Neurospora crassa OR74A: one gene and its partner. The protein of the gene in region 1 purifies or fractionates together with the protein of each later gene. This does not show direct contact. Links are inferred from orthologs where the notes say so. Each region holds a gene or a part of one and is shown in the gene's direction. Other genes may lie near its edges.

Region 1 (6,033 bases):
ATAGCACGGGAAGAAGTATAGGAGGATAAACCGGCGTGAATACTTCGGGAGACTTTTTCTTTACGTCCGATTGACTTTCAACCCTCCAGGTTTGGGCATTACTAGTGCTTGTTAGTGCGGTCAAAATCGGTGGTACAGACCTCCATTTTTGATCAAGCTTCGGACGCAAGCCTTCCTACAGCTTTTCAGGGCCTATTGATCCTCAATATCAATCGAATCTCCTGTATGTCGTGTCCTCATCTCGAAGGCTCTATCAAGATCTGAAGTCCTTTACTTCTTCTGGACTGTCTTTTTCACTCCTTCCACAAAGGCCTCGACAGCATCTCCGCCACCTAGAGGCACCATACCGCCCCTGACCATACCACCATTTTCCACTTGGATTCCCAACGCAGCAGAAATGTTGGGGAGTCCTCCATCCCGAAGAGCGATTGTCAGACTGGCAAGGCTCTGGGTAAACTGAGGGCTCCGGAGAACCTTCTTCAGAAGCGCGCGCTTCTGATCCTGGCTCATAGCCTGCCGAGCGGCCTCAACAGACGCGGCACTAGGCTCAACCTCGATGGCATCAGTACCGCTGGCACCTTGCTGAGACATGACAATGACGGTTGGGGGTAGATAGTTCAAAAGGTTGTCGACATATTCGTCGGTGGCGGAATCAAGCATCGGAATCGTAACTGAGGATTCAAGAAGATCGTTGAGTAAAGGGTAGGATTTGCCTTGGGCTTGGGCTTGGCCTCCGGCACGCCCTTGGGTGCCTTTCAGGGACTCGAGGAAGTTCCTTACAACGGCAGCCGCATCCGCCTCGGCATTCGTAGCATTTGCCCTGTCAACGAGAACTATATTAGCACATGTAATGGCATCGGAGACGCAATTTTGCGGAAAGCAGAGGGACGCCATGTGCATGTCAAATTTTAGTGCCTCCATCTAGCAAGTAACAATACAGTTGCACCGTTCTTGTTGCCCTCTGCGCCATAGCTTGCTCATGTTTGGTTGAAGTAGATCAAATGATGTGCGCGCCAAAGCAACCCAAACTCCCAAAACTCATGTGACGGGAAAACAGCACCTACGCTCTTGCTCCATCTGCTCCTCCTTCTCTGGCGTCCTCGCCCTCCCTCCTGACATCACCACCAGTGGCGTCGGGACCAGCGCCGCCAGTACCGCCCTCGTGGTGGGCATTGGGGTCTCCGTGGCCCTCGACGTCTTCCATTGTCTCGTCGTCATCATCGTCTCGGCGGTTGTTACCACCGCCGCTGCTGAGTGAAGCAAGCTCCCTGTTCACATCCACCTCGTAGCCCTGCAGAAGCTTGTCCACGATCTCTCCAATCTTCAGATCTCTTGGGCTCAGGAAAGACGGGTCGCCGTTAGGACTCTGAGGCTTCGATTGCAGCCAGAAAATATGGCGCTGTGATGAGGAAGAGAACTTGAGCGAGAAGATACGGCCGTTGGTCTTGGCGGAGGCCTGGGCAGGAGACTTGGTGTCGTAGGGAAGGAAGTGTCCGTCCTCGGGGATCATGACGAGGTCGAGCTCGGGCTCGTCCGCAGGGGCATCTCTAGGGCGCCAGCAGAAATGGATGAAATCTGCAACATGAAATGGTCAGCTCGTGTCACGGAAAGGAGTCGGCTCCCACAGCACTAGCTGGAGTTCATGGTCCACATACCATCGTCGGAGTAAAGGTAGATGTAGCCGGGCCTGGCTTGGGGCGTGACCTTGTACGGCTTCGACGTTTGCTGTGGATATGAATGTTAGTTTCGTTGGAATAACCAGACTAGTCGGCGAGGACAGGCGACAAAGTGGCCGAGAAAAGTGGATGTCATGGTGGGCGGGGGAAGCTGGGAGGAAGGGTGGTACGAACATCTACGTCGCAAATGCCCGCCTTGAACGTAATAATGGGTGATATCGGCATGGTTGATGCGCGCGCTGGTGTCGGTTGTGGAAAGCGTGTGTGGCTAGGTGGGAAATCGAAGCCGGCAAGGGGATGTCAGGTCAGAGTAGAAACAGTCGGCTCGATGAAGCTCGGATTTCGTGGTTGATGATGTTGCTGCTTCGAGGTACGATAGAGGCAATCCGCAATGTGAGCTCGGCACCTGGAGCTAGAGGCACTGGTGCAAGGCTACAGTTGCTCTGACGTGGGCTGCCGATGCCGCTGAGGTGCCGTCACCCAGGACAGCTGCTGGCCGGCATCCCCCACCCTCCCCCTCTCCATCCCGTCCCTTCTGCGCCTCCAGGGCAACTTTGACGGCAGATGGCGTTCCCAGGTCGCCCTGTAGCCTCCACCTAAGGACTAGATGTACCTACATACCTACCTAGAGGTAGTCTAGAGGGTCTCCAATCGCTGCCTGTCCCTCCGCTTCGCCTAGCAACCTACCTAACGAAAGCCCCCGGCTTGGAGTTGGAGAAGTCCAGTTGCAGGCTGGTGGAGTGCTTCGTACGGGATCGACGTCGTTGCTGCCACTTCGGTTCTCACTTTCCTTTCCACAGTTGCGCACGACCAAGAGTGTCGCCAGTTGCCTTGCCACGATTGCCAGTCGCGACTGAGACCCGAAGCTGTCCAAAATGCTGCTGGAGCGACCAAAGCCAGCGGACAGGAATTGCCTGTACCGTTTCAGATTACATTGACCCATGTCAGCAGCCATTGGGGTTTCCCGGTTCTGGCACGGCGCTGCACTGAACCCCCTTTCCCCATTTCTGGCCACTGCATTTGCGGTTTGCGCCTTGTCTTCTTTCCAGAAGCCCAATTTTTCCTCGTCCCCTAAATTCCCCCATCCCGCTCGAGTTGCCAATGCCCCTGGCCGCCCCTCGACCCCGACTCGATTGAGTGGCCGACTAAAAAAGTGTCCAGGACAACACCGACACCGGCTTCGACAACCTTCATTTGGCCGACGAATATATACGCGTAGCTCCCATTATCGCGTAGGAAGCTAGGAGCAAGAGCGCTACAAACAGTGCTATAGCATTGTCTTTTATCCCCACAACCGAAAGAGACCACGGCCATACACAAGAAGCCAACCACGGACGACGGGAACGCGCGCGCCTTCGAACCCAGACGACTATATGATTACTTCTCTTTGATAGATCCTCCAACATCCCATGGCGCGTCCATTGGGGCCGGTTCGTCTTAAGAGGACGAGCCCGGGAACGATCGCTGTTGGCATCGTCCTCGTAATCGTCATCCTCTACCTTCTAGTATCCCCCTCAGCTCCCGACTTCTCTGCCGCTCGCAAGGCCACAGCCGCGTTGCATCCTCTCTCTCCGCCGACATCACCATTCCGCAAGTCAAGCGCTGTCGGCGGCAAAGCAGGTCCTCCACCAGTAACACGCTACAACCTCAACAATGTCACCATTACAAACGACCCCGTTGGCAACCGCGAGAACGTCCTTGTCCTTACGCCCATGGCCCGCTTCTACCAGGAGTACTGGGATAACCTGTTGAAGCTCTCGTATCCCCACGAGCTAATCACACTGGGCTTTATTCTACCCAAGACCAAGGAGGGTAACGCGGCCACCATTGAGCTCCAGAAGCAGATCGCAAAGATCCAGAAGCATGGACTCGAGAAGGAGAGGTTTAAGAGCATCATCATCCTACGACAAGACTTTGACCCGCCCATCCCGTCCCAGGATGAGAGCGAGCGCCACAAGATGGCAAATCAGAAGGCACGCCGGGCTGCCATGGCCAAAGCCCGCAACTCGCTCCTCTTTACGACTCTCGGGCCCGACACATCGTGGGTGTTGTGGTTGGACGCCGACATCATCGAGACACCTCCTACTCTCATACAGGATCTTGCCAGCCATAGCAAGCCGCTCACGGTGCCCAACTGCTTCCAGCGGTTTTACAACGCGGAAAAGAAGGCCATGGACGAGCGGCCCTATGACTTCAACAACTGGCAGGACAGCCCGACCGCGCAAGAGCTGGCTTCTAAGATGGGCAAGGACGACATTCTCCTCGAAGGTTACGCCGACATGGCAACCTACCGGGCCCTGATGGCTTACATGTATGAGGCGGGTGCGGATATACACACCGAAGTGCCTTTGGATGGTGTAGGAGGTACGGCGTTGCTGGTGAAGGCCGAGGTGCACCGTGACGGAGCCATGTTCCCCGCGTTCCCCTTTTACCACTTGATCGAGACGGAGGGCTTTGCCAAAATGGCCAAAAGACTGGGCTGGCAAGCAACTGGTTTGCCCAATTACAAGGTGCGTCTTGTGTGTGCTGTGCGCCATGTCAAGGTGGGATACGTCGGACTAACACTGAAACATTAGGTTTATCACTACAACGAGTGAAACATTTGCCGGTATCGAGTTTTACACCGCGTATCCTAAGCCGCCACTGGACGCAATAACAGTCTCTCTTTGACGATGACAGCGTAGTGTCTGGGCCTTCAGAGATGACTACTCAACCTTTGTCCTATTCCTCATTCGTCCTCGAGCTGCCTAAGGCCATAGGCAAGAGTCTGGCTAGTAACAGTGGAATTTTCTGCCTTGGAGATGTTCAATTTCACAGCATCCAGAGTTGCTAGGCCCAGCAACTGTGGCGTTCTTCTAAGTTCTTGTAAATTTTTTGATGAGTTCTGGGTTATGGGAAGGAATGTGGGAAGCGAAAAGTGCACAGCTGGAGGGCGCGGTTCAAATACACGTCTGATGTGTGATGTGCCAGACGCAACCTTGTGTGATGATCAAGGTTGTCTGCTCGTTGTCGAGAGAAGAGCTCTTTGCTAACTCCAAAAGCTCTGAGCGACCGGGGCAAGGAATCTTATAACAAACCTTATCTGGTCAAGTTTCCAAAGACATAGGGTACAGCGACGACTTCTGACGATATATACTAGACTATGGGCGAGGAAACATAGGGGACTTTTGAAGTTCATCTTTCCTAAACTAATAGCATAATGAAAAGTAAGGGGTTGCGGTTAGGTTCCTTGCTGGCATCAAGTACAGGTTGGTATATCGCTCTGTTCTGTTCTTTTGTGACTAACAACCGTAGCCATTTTCTAATACAGTAAGCATAGACCATCTCCGATGATTTGGAGCGATGTCTCTTTCTTTTGTATATACATAGTAAGGAACCATGACCAGTCACTGCACAAGTGTCCAGTTGTTGTGCATCTCTACAAGTTCATACATGGCAGCAACGTGGCTGTGGCGAGTACCAATACCACTTGCCCCTGATATCTAAGCGTATATCTCAGGAATGATCTATACCAAGCCCACAGGCGTTGGCTGGCATGTTGGAAGATTCGCTACAACAGCAACATAAGGTCTGGAAACATGAAATATCATCTGTTGCCTGGAGGGAGCAGAGCCACATGACATACTCATAAGCGCTCTTCGTATGTAAGAGGCTTCCACAGCCCGCTTGAGCTACTAGCCAAAATAAATCCAATGGTCTATTTCCCATCCCACGGCTATCCAATCCAGCCCCCCCCCCCCCCCCCTATACCCTTTCTTTACATTCTCCCCTCCATCCATCCCGTACATTCTACACCTCTATCCCTGCCCTCTGCCCAACTCTTTCAAGACCCCTCATACCTCTCTTCCTCAACCCACAACTCCACCAGCCCTCTCGCCGCCACATGATCCCCTTGCCTTATAAGCGCCGCGACATCCACATTAAGCGGACTGTCAATGCCTGGACAGCTCAACAACAGCCTGATGGCTCTCACGCACTCCAAAACGCTGTAAGCGGGCGTCCATGCTTCTTTGAGCAAGTCCAGACAGATCTCCCCCGTGGTAAGGGCTACGTTGGCGTGCACGATGGGGGTGATGAATTTGATGGTTGGTGGGTGGAGGGGGTAGGTCGGTGGGAGGGTTATGTGGAGGAGCCAGCGGCCTTCTGGAGATTTGTGTGTGTTATCGTTAACAATGGAGGCTCTTTTGGGAGAAGGGGCGAGGTAAACATGAAAAGGGAAAGGGGGATGGATAAGAGGGAGGGAGGGGAAAAAAAACCAAAGATAAGAGACATACCATCATAACCACCACCTACCCCCTTCCCGTTAATCACGGCCTCCCAAATCAACAACTCATCGTCGTTGATGGGACCTAACCGC
Region 2 (5,812 bases), about 1.4 Mb from region 1:
AAATAATAATAGAAAAAAAAAAAAATGTTTATGGAAGTTCGTACTTGTACTATATCTAATAAGTGAGCCGTTTCTAAATGCAATTTATTATTATTAAGATATTTGTAAGTATTTGTAGATTTCTGGTCTTTGTTGAGGCCGATTTGTATGTGTACAACTGCAGCCGACGACGTTTTCGCGCAAAACCGTAACAGACCTCCTCTTACAAAAGTTCGAGGAGAGGAGACCTATATAATTGTGGGGCGGGTCCGCTGAAGCTTGTCGTTGGAGGTCATGTGATAGAGACTAACATAGAATGATGTCTTGGTCGCATTGTGAAAGCCATATGATAATTTCCAGTTGATTCATTGAAAAACGTCTTGTCTTTGGACAGGAGGAACCTGTAGTTGTATTTTAGAGGTAAGTATTTCTCCTCCTTAGAAAGGTTCGTTAGCGTGGGACTTTACAACACACTCCTCGTAATCAACCACCGTTCCACCACTTCTCATGTGCAAGAAGTTGGTATCAACTACTAAGTTGCGTTTTGGAGGCTTTACAAACTCTACTTGATTTTTCATATTGAATGTCCTTGTCACGTTGTTTTTCTGTAAGACTTTGTAGACCCTGTCACAAGAACTGCGCTAACAAACCTTTATGGATTGTATGTTGTCGATTCTGCTGTATCAATAGATGGCGGCGGTTGATCTTGGTGGCTTTGATCTAATTGATATTGAAGAAGACTTGCATCATGGATATTGAAGATGGACATGTGTTCTTCCACATCCATTATGTGTGTTTAACAAACAAACTGTCCAACCATCAGGGCGGCTAGGCCATGAGCTTGGCTTCCTCTTATTGCAGGGGCTGAAGACTATGATCAGTGTTCTGAAGCTTCTAGCAAAGATTGCCACCTACCGAGTAGCTCCAGCGTCCTCTCATTCAAGACCAGGACACCTGGGGTGGTCAAGAAAAGGAGGATCGTCAGGAATCACTCCGCCAGTTGATCCAGTTTATCGTGGGGCCCCTACGAGAGTACGTCTAGTTGGTCTGCCATCTCCGTTGATAATGCTAAAAGTTTAGTAGCCGATGGTAGGTTACCAGCGATGTTCTGCTACACGCCACCACAGTGAACCATTAAAGGTTCATGGGTACCGTAGCCATCCTCGATATGAGTTGACATCTGGAGGTCGAGATGCCATTTCTGCCATAGGTTACCACCTATCATCCAGAAAATGTATCGTCATTAGCATCATCTTAGGTAGGGATCGAGATGGCGTGCCGTGGGGTACCCCATAGTCGTTCATTAAGTGCAGACCCCCATGACCTCTATCTCCGTTGAGGACCAGGTTTGAGCGGGTGCTAGAATGGTGAAACAACGGAGGGGAGACAAGGAGATTTGACCCCCTTTAAATTGCGAACATCACCACATCACCCGCAACATTATTCGGCTCTGGCTTAGACAAGGGGCAAAAGAATCGCCCAGTTCGCCCAGCGAACCAACTCCGCGTCAGTCTTCCGTAGCGCCGGATCAGAGCCAAGAGATAACCATCTCAAGCAGGGGGGGTTGGTCAATTAGCTTTCTGTTGCGCAATCGGCCGAAGACTGCAAGCCAAAACATGTTTGTACTTTGTCCCACATCCGGTAATTTTTCTGTAACTAGTGCCCTTGGCCGGGCTGAGAGGGGGATTTTGAAAGAAAAAAAAAATCAGTCAGCAAAACGGTTTCGGGAGAAGTTGAAGGTCTCCCTCAAATTCCCCAAGTTGCTGCCCCCAAGCGCTTGATGAGTTGGATTGGAACGTTGTCATTAGCTCCTGCGTTCTGTTGCAGAGCCGTCAGGTACACTACCTACAGTACAGCCCCAGGATTGTCGAGGAAGAAAAAAAAAAAAAAGCCGAGAGTTGAAGGGGTCCAATGCCCAATGCGCTTGTACTGCCCGCCGGTACCGTGAAGGCTGCAAGGCACCCAACGAAAGCAGGTCAAGTCCACGCCCGACATCCCTGTTCAACATTAGCGTCTGCTCCCCCTTTCCATGCTTTGAAAAATTTAAGTCTAAAGACGGTGAAGGCATTCAGGAAAAGGATTGGGCCTTCCGCGAGCCGTTATCAGAACGTGTTAAGGATTCCCGCTCTAGGTGAAATTGCATGCCATCACCGTCCAGGTGTCGCAATTAGTCGCAACCACCCTGGACCGTAGTGTACTGTGTACCTAGACTCCAAGAAATAGACAGGGGTCGCAGTGAACAGGCCCTGGGTGGTGCCCTGCATGTGTCGGGGCAATCTTGGCGTGGGTAGCTGTTGAAAAGTTGGCCGCTAAAACAGAGAAAAAAAATGTTGTTGACGGAGAAAGCCCCTAGAATATCTGGGGACGGCCGGGGGGTCGCGATGAATTTGGGGAGGATGGAAGGTTTAAACACGCTTGTCCACGCTGGCCATTTAGTGGACGGGCAGGGCTGTTCTTCATCTGAAAGTGATTTTTAGCCCACGGTCACTGGAATTTTTCCATAGCTGAAACGGTCAAGAGATTCACTCTCCTAGTGAAACAATCTGCGTTGAGTTGTCTCTGAAGATCTCGTTTGTTACCTCTTCTTCCCGTCCACCAAGACACCGACGCATAATCCAAGCAACCGTTAGGTAATCGAGCGCGGCGAGCGATCCACTGAACGACATCTGCCCGGCATACAGCCGAAGGGAATCCGGGCATCTTCAAGCAACAGCTGCCCGGCTGGGTTCAAGGTTGGCATATCGTGTCCAGGTGCCGCTTCTGCAGCACCCGCCTACCATCCAGAGCCACCACAGGCGCCGGGTCTCTTCCTCCAACAGCAGCCTGCGCGCCCTGCACCCCAACCCGAAACTCGGACGTCTCCAAGACACACCGGGTCCTTGGTCCCCTTTGTCCCATCCCCATCCGTCCACATCCCCTTCTTGGACGACCAGATCCTCTCGGTTGTACCGCACGAGCACATTCAGTATTCGACAGTACACGCAGTCTGCCTTCTTTGGGTAGAGCCTAACTACCACGGACACCCATCCGACCGTACGCAGCGCAGCCACCAAGGCCAGCCAGCCCACCGTAACCACCAACCGCTACGTACCGACGTACCGTATCTCGAGTCAGGCGGCCCTCCGTTGCAACGTGGATTCAGCCGTCACTTTGTCAGTCCGTCCGTCAGCCTCTGGCTTGGGCCCTTGAGCCTCCACGGCAAGGAAGCCCAGCTACCCCCCTACACCCCTGCGCGATATCACCAGAGGGCCCATAGTGCCACCTGGTGAAGTCGCAAATCCGCAAAGCTGGCGACCCTTTCCCCCAACGGCAACGGGACCTCGTCCTCCTACAGCGACCCTCCGGCCCGCTCCCATCACCGAAGACGGTCGTCCGCCGTTAACCCTCCCAGCGAACTCCGATTGGACAATCGCCGATCTCCCTCGGGCCTCCTCCTTGGGGTTGAGCCCCATCACGGCAACTACGACCCCAACAGCCTCTCGCCCATCCCGGGTACGTGTTCTTCCCCTGTTGTCTTTTTGCCCTGTCCCACGCCCGTGACTGCCACCAGCGGTCTCACGGCCGCCGTCTCACTTTCACCCGTCTGGCCGCTGGGCACTTGTCCGATGTCATCCGCGTGTTACTGACTGTCGCTTGGTCCTTCCGTCTGCTCTAGGCACCCCGATCACTGCAATGTCGCTGTCCCGCAGTCCTTCTCCCGTTCCCGGTGGTGGCTGGGCAAGTCCAGGCCTTACAAACAACCTCAGCCCGAGCGGTCGATCGAGTCCTACCAAGGCCTACGCCGGATCCAACGGGACGCCCGTCATGTGGGAAAGGCAAAAAAACATGGGCGGCGCCGCATACCAGTCCTTCTCGACACAGAACCAGGGCTTCTTTAGCCGCCACATGCGTCGGATATCAAGTTCGCTGCCCCGATTCAAGGCCGACAACACCCATGGCGCCGAGAGAGAGAAGATTGGCCAAGGTCGATGGAACATGCCACGACTCGGCAGGATACGAGGCATCACGGGGAGGATGAGCAGGAGGACCAAGATGCTGCTAGCCTTTGCCCTCTTGTTCCTGCTCGGATACATCATCTTTTACAGCACTCGTGAGTCTTTGCAACCCCCCACCTTGGATCGATCATACAGTGACCTGACACCCTGGAAAGCTCTGGTTTACTACTACCGAAGAACATCATGGCTTGGTGGGGGTCAAAAGTTTGTCATCATTCTAGCTGCCAACGTTGGCGGTGGTGTCATGGAGTGGAAGGGCGCCAGGGAATGGGCAATCGAGAGGGACTCGATTCGCAACAAGAAGAAATACGTTGCCAAGTGGGGATACGATCTCGAGATTGTCGACATGAGCACAAAGAAACGCTATGCGCATGAATGGCGCGAGAGCTGGGAAAAGGTTGATTTCATCCGCTCCACTCTGCGAAAGTATCCCAAGGCAGAATGGTAAGTTCCCACTCTGTCGCTTCCTGGATGTGATCCGTGGCTGATTTTCTCCCAGGGTTTGGTGGCTTGACCTCAACACCTTCATTATGGAGCCATCGAAGTCTCTGCAGGACCATATTTTCGACCACATCGAGGATGTCACCTACCGCGACATCAATGAGTACAATCCGTTGAACATCTCTCACCCCCCGGCCGACCCTTACCTCGACGAACTCTCGAAAAGTCCGATTGGAGATGGCAACCCGAACTCGATTCACCTCATGTTGTCGCAGGATTGCTCTGGATTCAATTTGGGTTCCTTCTTCATGCGCCGCGGCACTTGGACGGATCATTTACTTGATGTTTGGTGGGATCCTGTGGCATACGAACAGAAGCACATGGAGTGGGAACACAAGGAGCAAGATGCCTTGGAGCAGCTTTACACTGCGCAACCTTGGATTCGGAAGAGTACGGCCTTCCTTCCGCAGCGCATGATCAACAGTTTCCCTACAGGCGCCTGCTCTGAAAAGGGCACTGATCCGCGCATACATTACGACCAGAAGGATCGGGATTTCCTGGTCAACATGGCCGGATGTGAATGGGGCCGAGACTGCTGGGGTGAGATGTACAACTTCCGCGAGCTGAGCTATCACCTCAACCGGTCGTTGTGGGAACGATTCAAGGAGGACCTCCTTTGCTGGATCTGGTTCAAGTTGACCGGAAAGAAGGTCAAGTTCTAAAACACATCACCTACAGTCTTGAAACCCTGATGCGAACGACACGATACTCACGACGTTTCTATTCGATCGCTCGAAGTTAATGTTGTGTTGAGCCCTCCACGGTACGCCGCCAGCAACTAGAGGCGGTTTGGCCGACAAATGGCGACACTACGTCTATAATCAAGTTACTTTCCATGTTGTCTTTATATAATTCTGTATACCCCAATTTTGTATACGCCTATTACATCAAAATGAGGGATGTTTGAGAAAGGAGGTTCTCTATTTCATTGCTGGAAAAAGAAAATATTCATGATAATGTTTGGTTCCCCGATCGGAAATGGCGGGGCCCTTTTCTCTTCTCGATTCTGTTCCCATTGCACTTCGAGTCACTCACCTGAGTCCTACTAGCCGGTGGGCAATTTGAATTATGGGGTGTGGCTTCTCATCTTAGACTTATGTATGGGGACGAATAATGATTGTCATGTCCAACGCCAAGTCTTCCTTGTGTTTCTATTCCGAAGTCTTCACGCAGGCTGGGTGAAGGGAAAGTGGTGGCACCAAGAGTTACGTACGGACTTTACTGTGGCTACACATATATCGCATTTGTACAAAGTAGACGAACATACGTCAGCAGCTGTCACTCCTAGGTATGGCAAAGGGATCGAGCATCAGCGACGTGTAGTAGAGGCATATCAA

What was found. Proteins that work in one complex are often made in the same cells at the same time.
Region 2: the proteins of NCU02635 (region 1) and NCU03055 purify together in Saccharomyces cerevisiae (affinity purification with mass spectrometry; 4 studies listed by BioGRID, with this or other methods). This does not show direct contact. The link is inferred for Neurospora crassa OR74A from reciprocal best matches to the Saccharomyces cerevisiae genes MNN9 and MNN10.

Annotation. Positions count from the first base shown.
Region 1 is NC_026501.1:3,002,966-3,008,998, forward strand, and holds NCU02635 (mannan polymerase complexes MNN9 subunit), read left to right. Parts: upstream 1-2,487; 5' UTR 2,488-3,085; coding exon 3,086-4,186; intron 4,187-4,252; coding exon 4,253-4,273; 3' UTR 4,274-4,932; downstream 4,933-6,033. Other genes in the region: NCU02634 (hypothetical protein), read right to left, coding at 271-820, 1,065-1,575, 1,656-1,725, 1,851-1,901; pex4 (ubiquitin conjugating enzyme), read right to left, coding at 5,500-5,819, 5,951-6,033. UniProt on the Saccharomyces cerevisiae protein: The M-Pol I and M-Pol II complexes possess alpha-1,6-mannosyltransferase activity and are probably involved in the elongation of the mannan backbone of N-linked glycans on cell wall and periplasmic proteins.
Region 2 is NC_026501.1:4,354,944-4,360,755, forward strand, and holds the start of NCU03055 (alpha-1,6-mannosyltransferase subunit), read left to right. Parts: upstream 1-2,439; 5' UTR 2,440-3,471; intron 3,472-3,634; 5' UTR 3,635-3,651; coding exon 3,652-4,069; intron 4,070-4,129; coding exon 4,130-4,418; intron 4,419-4,473; coding exon 4,474-5,137; 3' UTR 5,138-5,812. UniProt on the Saccharomyces cerevisiae protein: Required for polarized growth and efficient budding. The M-Pol II complex possesses alpha-1,6-mannosyltransferase activity and is probably involved in the elongation of the mannan backbone of N-linked glycans on cell wall and periplasmic proteins.